3 linked regions of the Notamacropus eugenii genome follow. The main gene of each other region encodes a partner of the protein of the gene in region 2 in a complex. Links are inferred from orthologs where the notes say so. Each region holds a gene or a part of one and is shown on either strand. Other genes may lie near its edges. The genes, in order: SEMA4D, PLXNB1 and ARHGEF12.

The links.
Region 1: the proteins of PLXNB1 (region 2) and SEMA4D are in contact, whole or in part, in a crystal structure (PDB 3OL2), measured with the Homo sapiens proteins. The link is inferred for Notamacropus eugenii from reciprocal best matches to the Homo sapiens genes PLXNB1 and SEMA4D. Residues at the interface, in NP_001123554.1 of Homo sapiens: Leu80, Pro81, Pro82, Glu87, Arg136, Pro137, Gly138, Asp139, Thr140, Tyr142, Gly178, Glu202, Lys205, Ala207, Gly209, Arg210, Ser212, Glu213, Arg235, Arg242, Asp359, Val360, Asn361, Ser362, Leu367, Pro368, Thr371, Tyr375, Ser379, Asp380; in NP_001358123.1 of Homo sapiens: Glu99, Lys100, Gly101, Phe158, Tyr179, Phe181, Leu182, Gly183, Ser184, Arg198, Tyr201, Ile203, Glu208, Val240, Leu264, Arg265, Thr266, Leu267, Gln268, Lys270, Thr347, Gln350, Ser351, His352, Thr353, Asp388, Gln392, Lys395.
Region 3: the proteins of PLXNB1 (region 2) and ARHGEF12 are in contact, whole or in part, in an NMR structure (PDB 2OS6), measured with the Homo sapiens proteins. The link is inferred for Notamacropus eugenii from reciprocal best matches to the Homo sapiens genes PLXNB1 and ARHGEF12. Residues at the interface, in NP_001123554.1 of Homo sapiens: Glu2129, Lys2131, Val2132, Thr2133, Asp2134, Leu2135; in NP_056128.1 of Homo sapiens: Phe82, Gly83, Leu84, Thr85, Val86, Ser87, Gly88, Asp89, His127, Val131, Lys135.

Annotation. Positions count from the first base shown.
Region 1 is NC_092874.1:370,119,615-370,127,380, reverse strand, and holds the start of SEMA4D (semaphorin-4D), read left to right. Parts: upstream 1-4,698; 5' UTR 4,699-5,037; intron 5,038-5,053; exon of another isoform or gene 5,054-5,238; intron 5,239-7,766. UniProt on the Homo sapiens protein: Cell surface receptor for PLXNB1 and PLXNB2 that plays an important role in cell-cell signaling. Regulates GABAergic synapse development. Promotes the development of inhibitory synapses in a PLXNB1-dependent manner.
Region 2 is NC_092872.1:14,567,012-14,574,564, reverse strand, and holds the start of PLXNB1 (plexin-B1), read right to left. Parts: upstream 3,023-7,553; 5' UTR 3,008-3,022; coding exon 2,736-3,007; intron 1-2,735. UniProt on the Homo sapiens protein: Receptor for SEMA4D. Plays a role in GABAergic synapse development. Mediates SEMA4A- and SEMA4D-dependent inhibitory synapse development. Plays a role in RHOA activation and subsequent changes of the actin cytoskeleton.
Region 3 is NC_092876.1:277,951,607-277,958,818, forward strand, and holds the start of ARHGEF12 (rho guanine nucleotide exchange factor 12), read right to left. Parts: upstream 3,082-7,212; 5' UTR 2,948-3,081; coding exon 2,916-2,947; intron 1-2,915. UniProt on the Homo sapiens protein: May play a role in the regulation of RhoA GTPase by guanine nucleotide-binding alpha-12 (GNA12) and alpha-13 (GNA13). Acts as guanine nucleotide exchange factor (GEF) for RhoA GTPase and may act as GTPase-activating protein (GAP) for GNA12 and GNA13.

The sequences.
Region 1 (7,766 bases), on a different chromosome or scaffold from region 2:
TAAATTGTAACTAGCATCATCATCATCATCATCATCAATGTTTCCTTGTGTTTGCTATTTTTTTCATCTTACTTTCTGAATTTGAACTTTGTGATGGGGCAAGTTCTGTGCACTTCTGGAAAATGTGGTAAAGCTTTCTATGGTACTTATCTGTATTATCTGGTGTCTGGATAATAAATGTTGTATTTTTCAGGGCAACGATTGAGGTTTGTAGGTGTACGTGAGGCAGTCTAGCCCTACGGGTAGTAATGATCTTTACTCTCCTGGTCATAGTCCCAAAGGCTATAATTAAACCCATGAGAAACTGATGAATTCATCAAATAAAAATGTAGAAAGAAAATAGCCCAGAACAAGGGCTTGGGAAAAAACCCAAAATCAGAAGGGTTGGTATGATGAAGCAAAGGAGATGAAGGAGTGGTCAGAAGGGTAGAAGGTGAACCAAGAAAACACAGTATTACAACAAAGAGTATAGAAATTAAATATTTAGTAGCAGAGGGAGTTGAATAATGCCAAATGATATTGAAAGATCAACAAAGATGGAGCTCAAAGAAGACCATCGGATATGTATTAATTAGAGCTCATTAGTAACTTTCAAGAGATAAATTCACTTGAGTGAGAAGTCAAGGATAAAGAGAAAGTTGAGAACCTAAGTGACTGGAAGGATAGCGGTGCCCTCCATAGTAATAGGGAAGTTTGGAAAAGAGTGAGTTTGGGGGAAAAAATGACATAATTGCAACATATTTGTGTGTATGATACTCACTATTCCTCACTGACAATGAAAAGTGTATATGTGTGAGAAAGGGGTGGGACTTCCTCATTCACTGCCCAAGAGTGCAGAGTAGGCTAATGTAGTCCAGAGCATCTCAAGGTGGGGATACAGCAGTTGGAGATGTAATGGCTATGGAAATCTGCCTGTTCAACTACTACAGGTGTCTGAATTGGGATAGGTTAGAACAGCTTTGAAAGATGGAAGCACTATGTATCCACTGAAAACCATCTGTGAGAGGGGTTGTAATGGGCAAGTGGTCAAGGGGTAGCAGTTATATCAGAAATAAATTCATATTAAGCTATGAGGAAGGGGAAGGGAGAGATATAGGATGTAGCTCATCTTCTCACACTTTTATTGGTTAATCACCCACCCCACTTCAGTTTAAGTTTCACTCTGAGGTATCCCACCCCTACTTTGGAAAGTACTTCTCTAAATTAGGAAATATTTTGTTTGTTCTACCATGAGAACATTTTTGGGGGAGAGGGGGTGATACATATTCAAACTCCATAGTTCTTTGCTCAGCATTTTCCATCATGAGTCTTTTGGAATTGTACCATGACATCATATATAGCTAATCATTTGCCTCTTATTTTCCTTGAAATTCTTTGGCCTCTCTTCCCTTCTATTAATGCCTAGTTGCTGGAAGATGATCCTGCTAGGATCTAGGGGTGGGAAACTTACAGCCTCAAGGCCACATGTGGCCTTTGAGGTCCTTGGATATGGCCTTTTGACTAAATCCAGGTTTTACAGAACAAATCCTTTTACTAAGCGTTTGAAGATTATAGAGGTTGGCTAGCCCAGGGTCTCCTTTGAAGTTATTCTCTATCAAGTATGTATTTGTTTGTCCCATTTTCTTCAGTCACAAACCCCCCCTTTTTTTACCCTTGTCTTGTGGTCCTGTGTTGTGCTATTTATGCTGTGTCTTCTACATAGACCACACTCCTTTCCCCATCCTTCTCCTTTTCCTTCAAGAGGTTAGCAAATCAGTCTCTTGTGGTACAAGGGTGGATTCAGACTGAGTCATAGATATGGAGGGATTCTCAGGTTCCTTGAGCTCAGGGTAGGTTGTGAGATTTCTAATGCTGAACAAAACCTCCCAAAATGTCCCATGAGAAATTCCTTCAGCATTGATAAGCAATTATTCCAGAAAAGAAGAAAGCAAATCCAAATCACCAAAATCTGCAGTAAGAAATGAGAAATGACAATAAGGCAAAAGAATATGGACAATGACCAAACTTCACCATTTACAACTCTATGCTAATAAATTTGAGAAACTGAAAGGAATGACAATTGCTTTCATTCCATCAATGATTACATATAAAATAACTAATCTAACAAAACAAGAAATGGACATCCTAATTAGACAAAACTCAAAAGGAGAAGTCTAAGAGTACTTTTAATGAACTGCCTTACAAAAATCCATCAGGAAGAATTGTTAAGTGCCTGGTAATATAGCAGAGTCACAAACTTAGGAAACAAAGGGTAGGGTAGGGAAGAAATGATGCACCAGATATAGTATAAAAATTGAAAAATAAAATATGGAAACAAACTTCAAGGTAAAAACCTCATGAAATCACATTATATAATGTAAATGTATAGAGGTTTCATTCAGCATTAGAAATCTCACAACCTGATCCCACTGCCTCCTGATGCTGGGTTCCACACCCACTTCTACTAAATTACCCCTCTACACTTCTAGGCTAAGTGCTCCCCTACCCACCCACAAGTTTTGGCAATGTCCCTTGTTCCTGGAACCAAACACTACCTCTTTGTAGTATAACAAGTACTACCACTAACACCCTGCTAAGAGGGCTGCCACGGGTGTTGGCACTGCTGGCCTGCAAAAGTTACCACCCCGCTCTATCATCTCCCAATTTTGGATTCTAGCAGTACCTCTCAATGTCTCCCTAAAAGGGGATGCCCTCCTCTTCCAAGTAAGTGCTGCTGCTGATACCTATTCTGGAACCTACATTGGGGTTCACTCTACAGGTGTCCCTTACCCACCTATAAGAGTTATAAGATGGAAAATTACAGTTCACAAGAGAGTCAAAGTCAGTTCTCCTTTTAAACTTTCTAAACTGATACAGTCCCATCTAGTCTTCAGTAAATTAATTGGGGTGATTATGGCACATTTGTCCTTATCTTTCAATTCCTGAAAGGTCTCTGGGTCGCTGAGGAGGATTGAATATCGTCTTTTTTAAGTGCCTTCTCAGTGACTTTTAACAGTCTCATGTAGCACAGCTAGATCAGCTTAGAAAGAGCAGGGTAGATAGCAATGTGGGCTCCATGAGTGTGGGCAATCGCTGGTCCAGTATAACCTGTTGATGACCTTATTCTGGAACTGATTGGAGGAGAGGATACTTCCACATTGCTGCCAGTGTACCATATGGTCATTAAGGATGTAGCACAGAAAACTTAGAAGGAAACTGGGAGAACGCTGAGGGGTTGAGAGGTTGGAAGTCACGGTGTGGACAAAAATAAGTTTTGTACGGGAAGGCAGAGGGAGAGGGGGGAAACAAATAGACAGGAATTGGAGGAGAAAGAAAATTTGTGAGTCAGATACTGAACTCTTTGAGGAAGGAAGAATGACCTAGTAAATATAAATTATCATGATGTTGCTTTTGCATTTTATACATTTTTTTGAGGTAGATTGAAGTTTATTGGAGAAACTTGAATGTACAGGTGCACAATCTTTTTTTTCAAATTACATTTTGAAATTGGAAAGAAATTTAGTAGCTGTCCTTATGCTCTTTTGACTATTTTATTTTCAGCTGGTTGTTTGCAGACTATGTATCAATCCTGCTGTATTTATCTTTAAGCCATAGTAGGAGGCTTTATTTTAGGTGATTTAAAAAAATACATTCGGAGTTTTCTCTCCCTTAAGCTCATTTTTAGCTTTTCAAGGTCTTTTAATGTGGCCAATGACCAGGGCCTTTCGTGTTCTTTAAATATGGTCAAATCTTTGACCTTTTTTTGCCCCTCCCTGGTTGTGGGGATAACGGTTGTGGTCTGTGGTGTCTAAAAGCAAGATAAGCATTAGTAATTGTCAAAAGATCTTATACACTTTCAATGTATCATTTTGTACTACAGTTGCTGTTTTTGTATCACATACTCTGTAAATTCCCTGAAGCAGACAATTAGGTAAACTTTGTATCTCTCCTCTGGAAAAATAAAAAGAACAAATTGAAATTTTCTTGCCCTAGTTGGGAATTATTGAGTGTTTGCCTTCAAGTGGTTATAGGATAGGATTATGTGGGTGTTGAAGAAGCTGTAAAGGCCATTTAAGGCTCTGAGAAGAGGTAAACTAAATCAATTTAGAGTATAGATTGCCCCAAAGTACAATCATGGGAGGGGAGAGGGAATCAAAGATTAGGGCATAGTAATTGGGGAATGATGTTGAAGAAGACAGTAGAAAAAACACCTTCCAGCTCCAGTCCTGATATTTTGAAGGTAAAGTTAAGGCATAAGATGCTGGTTCTCTACACTATCACCCAGCAATACCAGTTGCATTTGAAAATGTAGTGCTTACTACACACAAACTAGTCCAAAAGAAAAAACTAGTCTCTTGACAAAGAGACTAGTTTTCCTCTTCATCGTGTGTGCACCCTGGGTATTTACTTTTTTTAAAAGCTGAACTTTTATTAAATACTTGGTCATAAAGATCACTATTGATTAATCATAAAATTTTAATTTGAATCTAAAAGATGACAAATTTAGTTTTACAAATCAGCTAATTTCTAGTTAAAAACACAAACTTGAAAAAAGACATAAAACACCATTTTCAGAAGACATTAAAGTGAGTCTAGAGATGCCCACCAACACATTTTGTACGTGTGTGTGTACGCGCGCGCGCAATGCTCCCGCTCCCACCCTCCAGTAGCTCTGATCGAAGCATCATTCTACTCCTCCCCTTTCCCCTGGAGCTGTTCAGCGCTAGGCAGTCTGGTTCTGGCTGGAGCTGCCGCTGCACGGAGCCTTCTCTACTCCACTTTCCTGCAGCGGCCATACTGGGGGCAACCCAAACTTGCTACATACTGGCACCAACTCCTCCTCCTCCTCCTCTTGCTGCTGTAACCGCCCCTATTTCTAGCTCCAGCCACACACCGAGGAATTAAACCTGCTGCAGTAGCCCTCGTCTACGTTAGGGACTGGGAGAAACTAGATGCTAAAGGGGACTGAAGGAAGGAGAGAGTGGGCAGTGTAAAAGCAAAATTGTGGCGAGGAGGAGGGCTCAGACGAAGAGGAAGTTTCTTCTTCTCAAGCAGCAGGTAACGAGCTTCCCCAGCCTTGCACGTTCCATGCTTCCCCTGCCGTCTTGCAAATGCTTGCAAAGCTGCCAGGAAACTGTCGTGTCTAGGAACGTCTGGGCTCGCGTGTTGACAGGGTGGCTTTGCGGGTCTCACCCACAGCTCCTGCAAGAACTGTTCGGTGTATTCGGGGCTCCGTGACTCATCTGTGCCGGTGCTTAGGTCTGTGGGGAGGCCTGGGGTGGGTGGAGAGGCGGCGATCCGGCTGCGCAGCGTTAGCGTTTGAGGTTGTCGGGCTATTTTTCTTTTCTTTCTTTTCTTTCTGCGGGGGGTGGGGGAGCGGCGCGTAGTTGGGAGGGAAAGGACAGGTCGAAAGGTATTTTCAGAGAAAGATTTGCTGGGGAAAGGAGGAGGAGTAGAGGACTGAGGTGTTGATTCTAGTTGTAAAATTGCAGGTGAGGAGGGGACTAGAAAAGGCTTAGCATGGGGATGTCGTTGACTGGGGGAAAAGTTGCGAATGGGGGAAAAGTGGATATTGGTGTAGATTGTGCAGAGTGAGGGGAGAGTATTTTGGTTTCTTAGGGAGGTTGTGTTTTTTACCCTTTTCGAAGAGGATGGCCTACTATCACTGCCCACCCAGAAGATTGCACTGTTTTAGCTGTTTTATTGCAAAAAAAAATCCAGCTCAGACCTGAAAAAGATTGTTGTCCCTTGTCTCCACTTCCATTCTCATATACTTATCAACCCATGTATTCCCTTTCGTTCAGGCCTCTGACTATGGGCTCCCGTGCCACACATTTTTACATAATGTACCTGCTACCCGGATGAAAGTAAAATAACCCTGTCCATTCCCCCGCTCCCCCAAAATATGAGCTCCTGGTAGGAAGCGATCATTTAGATTTTGTCTTTTATTATCCTCAGCTACTAGTACAATGTCTTGCACGTAGCATTTAATATTTGTGTGAATTGTTGAATTGGATGTCAAATCATTTGCAAGAAGGTGGTATATTTATCCAGGTTTAGCTTCTCTGGTTATCTGAACTTATTTTGGTAATGAGTTGGGGAGAAGACATAACATTTTGTATTAGTGATAACCATTGTCTTGGATTTCTTTTGGCATAAAGATTAAAGGGACTCTGGAAAAATGGAGCACTAGACTTTTTGTGGTAGAAGCTTCCTCATATTTTAGAAAATCATTCCCATTTTATATGTGATTGTCATTTTCCTTTGTGATGGATTCTTATTTGAGTTATCTGACCTACTACTTGCTTTTGCCAATACCGCTCTGAACCTGATGAGCTACTTACTCTCTCATCCTTTCTTACCTCAACTTCTTTTTCAACAGGCTAGAAAAATTGGATACAGCTATTTTGGTAACCTTGGACAAAAAACCAGTAATATATACAGATAGGTGAAGTAGGTTACATCAAAAAAAAAAATATTGCTTAATTTTTCTCCCAGTGCTGACAAGTTCAGGTTTGTTTGTTTTTTAAATTGTTATTCCAAAAAGTAAGAGAGTAGACCTTGTTTTTAACTAAGAGATGCACCTGTTGCAGCAGGCTGGCAGACTGAGCTAAACCTACTGGTGTTTTGCCAATAAAAACATGTAAAGGATATTTGAACTGGTGTGTTGTTTCCCTACTTCCCCAGCTCCTTTTGGGATTATATGTAAATCTGTAAAACTTTTGTTCATTTAAAAAGAGACCTGTCCTCTCTTATTTTAGATACTGTCAATTTTAACTATGGACCCATTAAATCAAGGTTCCTTCCTAAAACCTCAATTTAACATTAAGCTGACCTCAAGCCTATTAGTGGTAAGGTGTTCACAGGTTGGAAAAAATCGTTCTGTTCCTGAAGAATGCTGTTTGTTTATGTCTTTGGTGCAGTAAGGTTATACTTAAATTAGTTTGAACAGAATTACTGTAAGTTTTGAGACTACTAAAATACTACCAGTTATTCCTGAATTTTTTCTTAGTGAGGCACATACAGATGAGGGGGTGGTGGTGGTAAATCACCCGGAAATGTTACCATAAGCATAGATCTGTAGACCTGTTTTGAGTCATGAGCTCAGAGGATCCCTGTCTGACCATTTCCATTCTACCTTCACTGTGTATGTATGTACATGTATGTGCATATATAGCCTGCATGCACATATATGTACACACATATATACATACATATATATTTTTTGAGGGGGTGGTTTTTTCTCTATCTATTGGCCTATTTCTGCTATTTATGTGTGTCATTAATTTTTTTCTGGAATAAAGTTATAGAAGGAGAGACTATAATCATAATAGCCTTTTGATTATATAGTAGTTTTTAAAACTCATTTTACTTTGCCATTCTGTTTATAGTGATGTTGATATTTCACTGAATTTGTATTCTCATTGATGTCACACTCTTCAACTATATGCATCATGATCCATTCATGACTTTGAATACTATAAAGTATCCATCCAACCTTTTGGGAGCTTTCCATTTAGGTCTCTTGTCATTCTTTAAAAGTACATCCTGGTGCCGTCCATTCCTCCATCTTGCTCTATTACTGGCCCACTTTGTTTTCAGTTGATACATTTCTTAGATGTTATATTTTACTTTGTTTTTTGTGTATAATTCACCTTTGATATGATACTAAACCCTGTTTATCCTCATACCTACCATGTGGCTAAGAGATTATGGTGTATATTTATTTCATGATTCATAGCCACATAACAATATTGGGAGGGAGAGGAGCATCCCGGCAATTTCTT
Region 2 (7,553 bases):
GGGAGAGACCTTGGCAGAGCCCCACCCCCCCCAAACCCCCAGACTGCAGGGTACCTATGGCACAGACCTGGTAACAGACAAGCTCAGAAGGTCCCTCAAGCTCAAGTGTACTTCTCCCTAACAAAAGACATAGATGGGGCTTTCCCTAAAGACTAGTTAATGGGGCTGAAACTGGGGAAGGGTATTTGGATGAACCTAAAGTCAGAGAATCCCCTCCCCCTCCAACTCAGCTGCTCTTCTCTCTAGCACCTTCTCCCACCCTGTAGTCTTGAATTCCAAGCTCTCTCTCTCCGACCCCCCTCTCCAAGTAGGAAGCAGATGAGAACTCCAAAAGGCTGATCAAACAGATATCACAGGCATCTGGAGCAGATAGGGAGTGTGTTTGTTGGAGGGAGTGGAGGCAGATGCCCATATAAACCATAATAATATAACACACAGCAGAAGATAATCACCCTGCATCCAGAAATGTTCTGAGGGTGCCGACTGCCATAGCTGCCCAGTTCAAGGAACAGACAGGAGCTTCCTCCAAGGACTCATGTCCTATCCCACAGTGGGAACTGAAAGGCCTGAACTGGGGGGATATGGGGCCAGAGGGCCAATGGAATCGGGAGGCAAAAGGGGTTCCTGAGCAGGGTAGGTCCAGAGCTGCTCCCATCATCTATATTCCTCCCTCCTTTCTTCTACTGACCCTGAAGAGCCAATCAGTTCTCTTTTCCCCTCTCAAGGGATTCCCAGGAGCTGTCTGCATGGATGGAGTGACTCTAGGGGAAGGGGGCTGGAGAGGCCAGAACTGCTCCTATTCTGTTCTCTATCATCAGCTTCCTCCCAGGACCCTATATACCTTTCCCCATTATGGACAAAAGCCAGAGTCAAGCAAGAAGAGTCATGCAGACAGAGAGGGAAAGACTGAAGGACAAGGAAAATAAAATGGAGAGGGTCAGGGAAGATTGAATGAAAATGAAAAGGCATTTATTAAGTGCTTAGTTTGTGCCAAGCATAGTAACAGAGGAGAAAGGGGGAAGGACAACACAGAGGTCAAGGGAAGGGACAGGGAGAAGGGTGAAGATCAACTGGAGAATCTGGGTGGCTTCAGAAACATCTTTACTAATTAGAGACCATGAACCAGAATGTGTTATTGAGATTTGTACACAAATGAGACAGTGCAAGTCCTTCATTCTCCCAAAACTTTCTTCAAAGCTTCTATTGCCTCCAAATGGGCCTCTGCACCCTACCGACCCCTTGCACCCTAACACTCAGAGCCTACCACATTCCAGTTGGGCCCACGAGTATACCATTCCTTCCCCCCAACATGTTAGCTAGAAAATCCCTCCTCCAACAATGTCAAAATTGGCACCAGATTATGCCACTCTAGGGCTCCCCACTTTTTCCAGGCCATCTCTCCATTTCATCCACCAGGGGGAGTACGATTTCTTCACCCACCAGTTAAGGAGATGCCCAAGAGCTACGGCCCCCAAATATACACCCCCTCCCCACTCCAGGTTTAGCCCTCCTATCCACTTCCAGGAGACAAGAGGTGAAAGGCTGAGATAGCGGTGCAGAGAGGCTTCCTCTTAGCAAGGGAACAACCCCTCCCCTTTCTTCAAAGGCCCAGACCCTGTCTTGATCCCTGCCCCTTCGGCCCCTCCCCCCACCTTGTACCCAATGAGGTGCCCACCACCTGGCTGGCTCCCTGGGTGCCATAATCAGGAGAAACCAGCTTTCACTGGAATGGCCGGGGAGACTGCTTCCTTCCCATCTCTGAGCTGGCCAGTTACTCATTAACCCCAAAATGTGAGCGGGTTACCCTTTGATTTGAGCATTTAGAGGGCTGAGGAGAGGGAGGTCTCAATTTAGATTATGTATGAGGCGAAAAGGGAGGGTCGTAATTCAGGATATGCCTTTTGGTGGTTTAGGTGACACAATCCAGTCTGACGGAAGACTGTCACTCTCCAGGGTGTGTGTACTGAAGGGGAGGGTGGTCACATTAAGGAAGCCCACATTAGAGGAGTGTCAAAATCCAAATCCACTCTATATGTACAGAAGGAGCGGTAGCGATTTAGGGTGTGTTCTGAGGGAGGGACGAGGGCCACAATTAAGGTGTGCATGGAAGAAGGGGGGGGGGGGGTCGCAATCCAGGGAGCGTTTGAATTTACTGGGATGGGAAAGGTAGAGTTACGACCCACTCTCCCAATCCTTCTTGGATCTAGGCAAGGTGCAGGAGCCCCGAACCTCTCCCACATATTCCACCTTCCGAGGTGTGGTGTACCTCCCGTCTTCCTCAGTACAGGCATCCCGCCCCCAGGGTCCAAGAAGGAAAGACCCCCTCTCTGGTCATCTGGTCCTGGCGGGGAGGGAAAGGCTGTTGGCTGGTGAGGATGGAGGTGGGGGAGAGGAGGGGCTGCCCAGGGGTGGAGGGAGGGGGCACTCAGCTCCAGTTCAGGGGGAGTCGATCCCGCCTCCCGCCTCTCCCAATCAAAACCACCCTGAAGTTTTCTTCCACCGGAGAAGTTCGGTCCAAAATGCCCACAATGAAATAGCCCCCTGCCCAGCCCCAGGCCCCAGATCAAGAGCTCTCCCTTCCAGGTGGCCGATCCACACAACAGAAAGCCCCAAGCGGTCCACGTAAGTGTTCCCCAAGCCATCCTTACGGATGCCGGCTCTCCACCTCCGGGGACTCGGGGAGTCTGGCCGGGGTGCTCGGATTCCTCGCCGCCCCCCGGGACGCACGGACTCACCACTCGGGCCCCGCTGCTGGGACAGGGAGGGAGGGAGGCGCTCCCACCGTTGCACCGCACACCGTCTCACCGCACACAGTTGCACCGCGCTCGAACCCTCTGCTGCGCGGGGCCGCGCCGAGCCGAGTGGCGCTGCGCGGCGCGGCGCTGAGCTGGGCTGAGCCGAGCCCCAGAGCGGCGCGGGCCTCCCCTACCCCCGCCCCCGGAGGTGGATCCGGCGAAGCCACAGCTGTTACCCGGAGACCGAGGGGCGGAAAACTGCGCCCGCCCATCCCCCACGGCCCGGCGCATTCACCTCCAGAAACAATGGAGACAAAGCCGCGTCCTCCCCCGGGCTCTGCGCCTTCCTTTCCTCCCTCTCTCCAGACCCCGGCTGCCCAGGAACAGAGACACCCCCACCCCCAGCCAGCCCGCAGGCCGAGAAGGGCTGCAGGATGAAGCAGGGAGGGCAGCACAGAGGGGCACCGCGTTTTCTCCACCAGAACCCTCACCTGCTTGTCCTTTGCCTTCCCCCTTCTCTTTCTACCCTTCCTTCCTCTCCACTTTCTCCTCCAGATTAGGAAGGATGGAAGGAGAGAGAGAGGAGAGAGAGAGAGAGAGAGAGAGAGAGAGAGAGAGAGAGAAAGAGAGAGAGAGAGAGAGAGAGAAAGGAAGGAAGGAAGGAAGGAAGGAAGGAAGGAAGGAAGGAAGGAAGGAAGGAAGGAAGGAAGGAAGGAAAGAAGGAAAAAAGAAAGAAATCCCTAAGAAAAGGAAGGAAAGAAAGAAAGGCATCCCTAAGGATTGCTCCCGTTCTTGGAGGACGACCCACAAGTGGACATATTAGTAAATACCAAGTAAGCTCGACTAGGGAGTTGGGAGTGGACAGAACACCTGAACTCTGACTTAAAGAAATCTTGGGGTCCTATAAGGTAGAAGTAAGGAAGGAATGTATTCCAGAAATTGAGGGGCGGACAGCCAGTGCAAACGCGGCAAAATGGTCAAGTGAAAAGGGAGGCTGTTTGTGGGGTCGGAAGACCGACAAAGTACGACTCTACTGTGTGACCTTGGACAAGCCATTTAACATCTCTTGAATGAAGAGGTGAAGTTGATCTCGAAAGACCCTTCCTGAGTCTAAATCTATGAACAGAGAAGAGAGATAGCATACCCAGTTCCCAGAACTTCAAGAAAACTCATTTTATTCACGTGGATGGGACCAAGGTGCAATATTTGGAAATGTAGGTGGAAGCCAAGTTAGTGGCTTTAAATGCCGGGCTGAGGAGTCTGCATTTTCTCCAAAAGCCAATAGAGACGCATTGAAGACTTTTGAATAGGGGATTGACATGGTCCGACCTGGGGCTGCCCTTCCTTCTCTACCATTTTCCCCTTCCACTGCCTTTCCCCTCTTCTCCCCTCCCTCCCAACTTCCTCATCCCCCATGAAGCTTCCCCACTCTCTCCTCCTACAATTAAACATTAAGCCCTGGGAAAGCATTGGACTAGGCTGTGGGAGAAAGAACACTTAGTTTAAATGTCACAGTCTCTGCATTCACAGTTCACTATACAATGGAGGATATGACACAAAGTCACACAAAGCCAAATAATGTAAAAGTCCATGAGAGAGTGCACATAGGAATATGTGAAATCTGTCTATGATAATACTAGCTGAGTTACTAGAGGGAAGTGGGACATTTTGAGTTGGAGAACAGCATTGTCCAATTTGACCGGAGCTCAGTAGACATAAAAGGTGAGAATTAGTGTGAGATGGAAAGGTGAAAGTGGTGCCAGATGTGAAAACCCTAAATGTCAAACCAAGGGCAATAAAAAGTAGCCAAAAATTTCTGAAGAAGTAATAAGACGATTTATTTATTAGAAAATGTAATCTGGCAGTAGTGTAAGGTTGGACTGGAAGGGGAAAGACCTGTTCAGCTATTGGAATAGCTTGGGGGGGTGGAGATAAGGAATTAGTAATGAGAGTTTGTGCTGTGGTAGAGTCATTTGGGACAGAAGGGTAAGGATTTGAGAGATGTTACTGAAGGGGAATCAATAGAACTTGATAAGCATTTGGATAGGGGAAGAGTCCAAGATAACCTTACATTTTCAAACATGGGACACAGGATGAACCATGTGGTATCAGCCGCAGAAATGATGAAGTCAGAGATTTAAAGGCTTAAGACAGTAAGTGGAACCTCCAAATTGCAGGTGTCATATGCCCCATAGGCAGCTGGAGATGTAGGTCTGGAGCTCAGAAGAATCAGTGCTGGAGATTTGAGGGCTGATCATAGAATCAGTCATGGCAACCATAGCAGTGAATGAGAATGCCAAGAGACAATGTGGAGAGGAGAGAAGAGAAGCCAGAATAAATTCTTGTGGTGGAATCACTTTAAGAGGATGGGAAATGAATGAAGAGACAGTGAACAAACAAACAAAAAGACCATTTAGGTCTTTTCCAGCCATAAATCTGTAATCCTTTGATTTCCATTTTCTTACCATCCCCACCACAAGGTTCTTGTCAACATCTAGAATTTTCTGGAGTTCTCTGTGAAGGCTTCATTCTTAGGGTTGGGGAGGAGGGGACAGAAGATGGACCAATGAGAGGAAGTAGTTTGGGGAGAGGACAGGGAGAGATCATAAGATAATAGTTATTGCTGGAAGAGACTTAAGTCATCTAGTTTTCAGTTGAGGAAACTGAGCCCTAGAAAGGTTATTTTCCCAAAGTACAGAGAGGATGATAAGTAGCAGAGCTAGCATTTGAAATCAGGTCCTCTGACTTCAATTCCTCATGCAGCCTTATGGGGAATGAGTAAGGGGGGATGAATGGGATAGTTGAGGTAGGGGCAGTAAAGGGGAAAGTGCAAAGTGCAAAGTCATTGATTAATGTTAGAAGGGCAGGGAGGACTTAGCTGCCAAGCGTGGCCTACATGTTGTCCAGGCAAGGGGAGCTTGAGAGGCGGGCCCCAGGAACATACTCTGCCCCTGTTTGGGCCCCTTCCCAGGCAAGAACAGGGATTTACCTTCAAAGCTGGCCTGCCCCACCCTTCCCCAACTCTCCCTGCTGAGTTGGCACCGCCCATGCTCCCTGAAGCCAACCCTTACCCCAGCTCTCTGAACTACTCAGTGGTGTCTTTTCTCTTAAGCCCCACCTACCAGGCAAAGCTGAGTAGGACCTCAGGTGTCAGGCAGCTGGGGGTCCTGGGCTGAGCCTACATCACAGTCCCTCCTCCTCTGCCTTTAGTTTGTACTGGCCCAATGAATTTCCGTGGGCCTGTCTGGCCAGAGGTGAGCAAAAGACTCAAAGCCTACCTTCAGGAAATCAAAAGGCACTGCTATTCTCCAGCCTGGCAAAGAGGGAAAGCATGTGTGGGCATCAGTCATTCTAACACCTCCACGTTTCACTGCACTATGATGCTCTAGAGGTGAAAGATAAGGACCTGAGTCTTTGTCCCTTAGTCTAAGCAATGCCTGTCTAGCATCCCTACCATGTCAGGGTCCATTCTAGTCCCCTTCAGAGACTGACAGATTGATCAACCACATTGGCTGTTCCCAAGCTCCCAGTTGTCAGTCAGTTAATAAACATTTATTAAGCTCCTGTTGTGTACTAGGCACTAATTTCTGGAATACAAGCTTTTGATTCTCAGGATTCTGTCATTCAGGTTTACAACTATCTCAACTCTTCACATTTTCTTTTCCTGTCCCATACAATGTTACCAAATCTTGTTTCTTCCTCCACGTCTCTAGAATTCCCTTCCTTCTCTCTATACCCTAGCTCAAGCCTTCATCACTGTTTGCTTCTTAATTGGTTTCCCTGCCTTCATCCTCTCCCCTCTCTCCAATTCTGCACACAACTGCCAAACTGATAATCATTAAGTATTTCTTAAATGCCCTCTACATGCCAGACAGTATTCGAGGCACAAGGGTACAACTATCTTGTTTGGAGAGTTGAAATGAGGCAGCAGTGTATTCTAGGCATATGCAAAAAGCATAAAGGCTTGCTGACAAAGAATGTCAGCCAGTTTGGCTGGAAGGTAGCATGGGCGGGGGTAATGTATTATACTTAATAGAATATATTCACATCCTTGCATGATGCTAGACATCCTCTATTGAGTTAAGAAGAAATCCTGTTCCACACTCACCCTAGCTTCATTTCCCCCAATTAAGGTAAGCCAATCTGTGTTTGTCATCCATGACCCAGGGCCCAAGGACTCTGATCTCACATGGAGGGGACCTGACACCATGAGGGTCTTTGTCTCTCTCCAGCTCATTGCTTCTACCTGGAGTTCTCCAGGAAAATCTTACACCGTAATCACGGCATGGCTAATGTCTAGGTTTCCCTAAAAGTAGGTAGCAAAGTCCTCGAGTTCTGTAGAGATACTTAGTGTATAATATGGATATTGGGTATGGGATGGCCTTTGTTTCTCACACCACAGAAAATGTATAAGCTAGGAACAAATACAAAAATATAAAGCAGTCCCACACTCCCACCATCACTTCCAAAGAAACTTTGGAAAGCTGTTCCCATTCCCTGTCTATCCACTCTGACCCGTTACCACTCCTCTCTTCAAGAAGCTTCAATGGGTCCCCATTGCCTTGAGGGTAAAATACAAACTCTTCTATTGAGCCTTTAAAGCCTTTCTTTCACCGTCGGCCTCCCATCTATCTTTCTAGACTAATGTGACGTTTCTCCTTCTCAGCCAAACTGGGTGAACTCTAAAGTGCTTTCCAGATCTAAATCTATGATCCTATGATGCTCAGGAAGACATTCCATTGAACCTCTGTGCATTTGAAAAGTCTATCTCCACTCCGGGAAGCCTTTCCCAACCCTTTTTAATTCTAGTGCCTTCCC
Region 3 (7,212 bases), on a different chromosome or scaffold from region 2:
CCCAGCACGTTCCTACTAAGAAGAATAAAAACCCTTATCTCGTTCAACCATGTGTCGCCTGCCACAAACTGCAAAACAGCAACGCCCAAAGCCAGCCAGTCTGATTTTAGCTAGGGACAGACAAACTGTACAGTCAGAAGCACTACAATGAAAGAACAAGGACTCACACACAGCTGGCCTGGATGATTTTGCACACGCTACAAAGCATACCCCATATAGTACTTCAATCATGAAAAGACCATAACGAGGTCCACCAGTACTGTCAGTTTGCCAGTCACTGCAAACTTAGCTGTCAGACATCAACTACACCATCAACACTAGTTTGGAGTTGAATAGTGGGAAGGAGAAGGCCACAGTGGGTGGTGCCTAGAGGAAGCTGGGAAGTATTCCCTACTGAGGACTTTCAGGATCCTTGGCAAAGAAGCAACACTAAACCAGTACTTCCAGATTTTATCCCCAACACATTCAAATCAGTACTACAAGTCAGATTAAGTCAAAGTTGTGCACAGTTATAGTAGAACAACTATTCACACTATGATCTTAGCTAATAATTAGGGAAACTACAACACCTGCAATCAATACAAAGTAGTGAACAAAAGTATGCAGAAAAGAAATTATAACAAGAACACCTAAGAAACAAGTATCCTTACTGCCTGGTTAAATTGCCTACATTTTGTCATCTGCAACTTAGAGTATCTCTAAAGACTTTTGTCATATCACTCTGCAAATCAGTTAGTGCTGTGAATTATCTGAAAAAATTCACTCCCAAAACAAACTTTACCATCAACAACCAAAATGGAGAGGTTTAAAGTTACACCTCCCCTGACTTAAAATTTAGTTTAATGCTCACAAGAATCACATACTGTAACTAGATGACAAAGAAAATATATGTCCAAAACTGAAAATAGGCAAATATAATTTCCAGTAATAACACTCAAAAAAGATCACTGGTGACTCTTGTATGGCATGAGTTGGTGGTCTTAAACTCCATTTCTACAGACTTAAACAGCAACAGGAAGAAATAAACCACTAACACATTTGTTTCTAATGGTGTTTTTCTGTCTAATGGCTCAACAAAAATGGCAAGAAATGAATGAGCCAGGAAAACAATTACCCACTCACCCCTGAAAGTGATTCTCAGAAGCAAAACACCCTGAAAGAAAGGGGAATAAAAGTACATTCAGGCATTACAAGATAAGCATGGTGGTTGCTCAAAGGAGACAGGAAAAAATGTTTCATAGACAACAAAACCTCATTTTTAAAATAAATGATACACTTTAAAAGAGCATATGTGGAGTTTTTAAATGTCAGTAGAATGCTTTAGGTGAGTGTGCATGTGACACTGTGGAAAGCATCAACAGGAAGAGGAAGTGCAACTTCTGTCTCTGGAGGAGCTGTTTTGGTATGATAATGGAATTCAGCCCTTTTTTAATCAACAAATGAGTCCAGCAATTGGGTGTAACTCTTATAAAGTAATTCAAACACTTTTTGCCAGAGTCCTATTGTTCTACCTTACAACAAAGGAGTTTTAAAAACAAATAGGCTTTTCTAAAGCTGATGTTTCTTTTATTAAACTTCAATTTTAGTTCCTCCCTCCACTTTCTTAAGTTGTGTTAAAGAGTTTTTTCTGGAAGAAAAACTGTAATTTTAGTCCAGAACACAAAAAGAAAAATATGAAGTTAGCATATGGACCACAAATATGCAACCTTGTTGTGTGTGAAAGGAATCCAGTTATAATGAAAATGATATATGTAAAAACACTGTAGAAATGAATGTGCTTAATGTTACTGTATCACATTTAAAAGTTTAATACTCAAGGGTTCAGAGTACCTAACCTAAAAGTATTTGCTGACTTATTAAATCAGAAATGATCCATCTAATCTAAGTGCTAATAAAGACAAATCCATTTATTAGCTAGCACATCAAACCCTACATAATTCCTTTACTGCTTATGATATTCTTTTAAACTACATTTTCCTGGGAAATATAAAAATCAGAAATTATGGAACTATAACATATATGGAATGTTATACCTAACACATAAATGTAACATATATGGAAATATAACAACCAAAAAGCTTTTTAAAAAAAATCGCCATCCAGATGCTTTACCCCAACTATAACAAGATACAGAGTTCCATTCATCGCCGAGTTACTATATAACAATTAAAAATTAGGCAAGCCAACATTTTAAAAAAGACCAAGATCTTCACAGAGTGCAGAGCCTGAAGTCAGGAAGCCTCATTTTCCGAAGTTCAAATGTGGCCTCAGACAGACACTTCCTAGCTGTGTGACCCTGGCCAAGCCACTTAACCCCGTTTGCCTCAGTTTCCTCATCCTCATAAAGTGAGCTGGAGAAGGAAATGGCAAACCACTCCTGCATCTTCGCCAAGAAAACTCCAAATGGAGTCACGAAAAGTCAGACACGACTGAAACGACTGAACAACAAAAAAGTTCACTAGTCCCAAGGTCCCAAGTTCCCTTTAAAAGGGACGAAGATCACACGGGCCACAAGGTAGCTCTCCCTCAGGAAAAATCCAATATCAAACTGCCCACACAACTGGGTGAGTGATATTGCCCCGGTATCCAACAGATGTGAGGCACTGACCTTCACCCAAAGTGACCTTCTGGGAGGGGGCGGGGGTTGTGATAAAGACTCTCAGGAGTGCCAAAACAACCCAAACCTTCATTTTACCTACGTTTCTCAAGAGCTTAGCTTCATTTTGAAACCTGGAGGTGCGCATCCTGTGTCCCTTCCCCAGGGATGCGTTGGGTGACGGGGCGGCTGCAGCTCGGGAGTACTTGTACAGATCCGAACCCTACTCTGCCCCGGGCCTGTCAAGCTCCGGGGTGATGGAGCTGGCGGAAGTCGCTCACTACCAAAGGCTGACCAGTAAAAGGAGTTTCATACCAACCTGTCCGTGATAGTAGACTGTGTGCCACTCATTGGGGCCCTTGGCGAGAGGTCGTCTTTCTATCCAACTTGCATTTTACAACCACATCCCAGTCCCCACCCCACCCCCAGCCGGCGCGGCTCCGAGAGGGACGCACAAGTCCGACTCCAAACTCCGGCCAGTCATAGGGCATCCGCCGGGGGGAGGGGGAAGAACGGGAGAAAGTCTCGGAGGGGGGGGGGGGGGGACACGCTCCAGGCCCGCCCGGGAATCGTGAGGTCGGGCAAAGGGGGCGGCCTCGAGTCTCCGCGAAGGCGGCTGGCTCCCCGGCTTCGGGCAGCGGCCGGGCGCCCCGCTCCTCCTCCTCTCGAGCTCGGGGGCCGGGGCCGGGCTGGGGCCCAGTCGGCTCTATCTGGGGCTGCGGGTGAGTCGTCGTCGCTGCTGCTGCTGCTGCTGCCGCCGCCGCCTCTGCTGCTGCTGCAGCCTCCGCTCGTGGGGCCGTCCCGCGCCGGGCTCGCTCAGCTCCGCAGGGTTCGGCTCCTCCATGTCCCCCGGGGCGGGGTCCCCTCCCGTCCCGTCCCGTCCGCCCGGGGGGAGGGCTGTCCCGGCGGCGGCTGGGGCAGGGGCGCGGGCACTCGCTGAGTCAGTCCGAAGGGGGGGAGGAGGAGCTGGGGGCCGAGGTCTCTCAGCGCCGCGGGCCGCGGCTCCCCATCCCCTGGGAGCTGGCTCGGGCTTCTTCCGCTCTCCGCCGCGGCTCCTCCCGGGAGAGGGGCCTGTCCCGTCTCGGCCGGCGGGGAGCGGCGGCGGCTGGGACTCCCCTCAGGGCCGGTTCGCCGGGTCCCGCGGGGCTATCTCGGGAGCGCGCTCGGGACGGAGGGGGAGGGGAGCGGGGAATGCGTCGGACGCCCAAGGTAAGGCGGCGCGCAGGGGGAGGGGGGGTCGCGACGATTCCAGCCGCGCGCACGGGTTCCGGTTCCGGTTCTGTCCTCTCCAGTCCTAGGCTCGTTCTCCCACACTCGCTCTCCTCCCCCGCCCTACTTTTCTCTCTCTTTTGCTTATTTTCCGGCCTCCTCTCTTACTTCTGAAAGCCGCCTCACTCAGGATTCCTCCGCGCGGCGCACACACACCAGGGCGCATCGGCCGCTGCCGCCTCCTCCGCGCGCTCGTCCCGGCTCCGGGAGCCTCCCCCGCAGGCGGCGTGCTGGAGAGGGAAGGGAAAAGTAGTGCTGCGGCCGGGCGGCCCGGCCCCGGGAGGGCTCTGCGCCTTGTAGCGAGGCAACGCCCCGGAGCACGACGCGGCCCCGGGGGAGCTGGTTATGGGGAAGACTTGATGTCATACTAGATCTTGGAATCAGAGGATTAAATCTCAGCCGTGGCGCTTGGAGCCAGTCACTAGGTCCCTCAGTGCCTCTATTAGCCTCCTCTGTAAAGTGGGGGTTGAGTAGGCTGGTGGGGTACGCAAAGTACAAGGTTCGTCCCACTTTATGATCCCTCCGGTGAATGGGGTTTCTCCTTGGCCTCTCATTTTCACACAGATGTCCTGAAGAGCCGTGATCCCTGCTTGTGTAGTTATGTCCTCGTATCCGTGTGTGTGTGTGAGAGACACCGAGACAGACACCGAGACAGACACCGAGACCTGCTTAGCAAAGCTCGGCTGTCAAAGCCGAGCCACGACAGAGAGATGGGGGGTGGGGGGGAGGGAAGACCTCCCTTGCAAGGCTCCGTTGTTAATACGAAAGAAAGGGGAAAAGGAAGAAACGTCCCTGGAAAGTTTCAGCTGTCAATGCCCCGGCTCCCCCTGGCACTACCCGGCACTACCTGGCACCGAGAGAGCCTTCCAAGGGAAGCCTCTTAGCGGGTTTGAGAAGAGACTTGGGACAACAGCTTCTTCACCTGTGCGGGGCGGTGCACTTGGGCCCCCGATCCCTACCTCTAAAGACTGGAGATAATGGGGACCAGTGGAGGGCTACTTAGTAAAGAAAAAAGCAGTCCTGTCCAGATGTAATAGCTCTGTAACCTTGGGCAAGTCACTTCACTTGTCGGTCTGTTTTCTGATCTCTCAGGTCCCTTCCAGCTGTATCTTTTGCAATTTCTTGGTATGTTACCTTTAGCCTGTTTCTGCCTTGAAAAATAGGGTGTGTTATTTGCAGTCACGGAAGAGAGCAGGCTGTGCTGTTTTCTCTGCAGGCCTTCATAGCTGTTTGTGGAAGGAAAAGAAAAGGCATTTTCTGGTATTTTGATCAAAGGGAATCTATATAAAAATTATCTCTGGAGGTTTTTCCACATATTTCACCATTATCTACTTATAAATGATGTAAAAGTCAACAGTATAGGAAACTGAGCCCAATATATCCATGTTCTACAAGTCTTCACATCCAGGTATTAAATGCCTCCGCTGTACCTTTTGCTAGAAATCCCTCCTGACCCTTGAATTCCTACCCATACAGATGCCCGTATGCCATCCCTCTCCTTCCACCTATCCACCCATCCTTGGGGCAATAATGACATCCCCCACCTTCCCATTAGAGTATTTGTTGACATTTCCCTATACACATTATCAGAAGATCATAGGTTTAGGTCTGGAAGGGATTTCAGAGATCATCTACTCCAATCCCCTCATTTTGGAGATGAGGAAAAGAAAAGACAAGAAAGGTGACTTTCCCAAGGTAACACAGGTATTAAATATCAGAGCTGGGATCTGAAGCTCACTTTCCACTGAACCATTTAAGATGTATTTTTATTATAGTTATATGTCTATATGGCATATTCCCCTTCTAGGTTATAAGCCCCACAAGGACAGGTACAATCTTGTCTAAACTAGATCTCCTTCAATACAAGATTCTACACATAGTAAGGACTTAATAAATTGCTGCCCAATTTGAGATACTTAACCTACTCTGAATAACCCTGTTCATTGTTTCATTTTCAGAGTCTTGGTGGTTTAATGATTTCAGCTGTTTGGTGAAAATTGAAATTTATCAGAATTTAATAATTTTCGTTAAAATAATTTCATTTTAACATTGCTTTCTGTGAAAGTCATTCAGCAAGAAGGATCATAACCCTGAGTGTTCTTTGTGCTTGAGCTAAGGGTGACATAACACAGGGGGGAAAAATTAAAACAGAGTCCTAAGATGACTCTAGCTGCGTGATTTCTGAGATCAGTAAAGAGCCAGCTAATTTTGTAATGTTTATTTTTAGAAAGAAACAGATTTAGTGATACAGGTCACTTCAGTCCTAATGATGTCAGCAGGATATATTGCCACCTGCTGGAGTATCCTAGTATGACACAATTCCATCCTAAGAACTGTCCAAGCAAAACTGCAATTTAAAAAAACAAAAATTGTTAAACAGCTAGAGATCGAGCCATTTCAATAAGCCTTGGTCAAGATCCAAATCTGGGCCACAAACTCAACAGATGTATTCTGTATAATCATGCAGACTTTCACAATGATGGACTAGCTGTGTCTTCCTTTGACATAATCCTTTTGTTAGACATGTATTCATTCCAGTGATTCATCAAATGGTGCACTGTAAAGATGGGTTCCCCTCTTCCCTTTGGGATCTTAAAGACCCTTTTTTCTATACAGTCTTTCTGGGGAAATTGTTTTGGACATAATTCTAAACTTAGACATTCATCTATGACCAAAGAATAAAAATCATATTGTTAGAACCGGAAGAACACTTAGAGATAGCCTAGCCCCTTCATTTCACAAGTAGGGAAACAAAGAGTTGTTAAAGATGAAGTGAGTTATCTAAAGTCACACAAAGAATTAGTGGCAGAAAAAAGACTAAAAGTCAGCTCTCCTGACTCCCAGGCTAGTGCTTTCCAGTTGCTTTTTGCTTCAGTGGGAAATGGTATGTAGCGATTATGAAATTATTTCAGATGGGAATTATTCACTGAAGTGCCACAAAGTCAACCTTTCCTCCCCCATTCTCTATAGAATAGTAAAGGCTGTTTTTGGAGCTACCTATAGTTTATGGAATCACAGAATTCATTTGGAAGGGACCTCTGTAGTCATGTGGAAAAGAATCCCCCCTATAATACCCTCCACAAGAGATTACCCAGCCCTTGCTTGAAAATCTCCAATGAAAGGAAACCCCCCTACTTCCTGAGAGAGGCCATTCCACTTTTGGATAGCTATGATTGTTAGGAAGTTGTTTGTTGTTTTGAGTTTTTTTTCTTACATCAAACCTAAATTTGACTCTTTGCAATTTCCACCCATTGTTACTGGTTCTTTCCTCTTGGGCCAAACAGAAGGAGGCTAATGTCTTCCACATTCCTCCTTTCAAATACTTGAAAACAGCCATCTCATCTCCC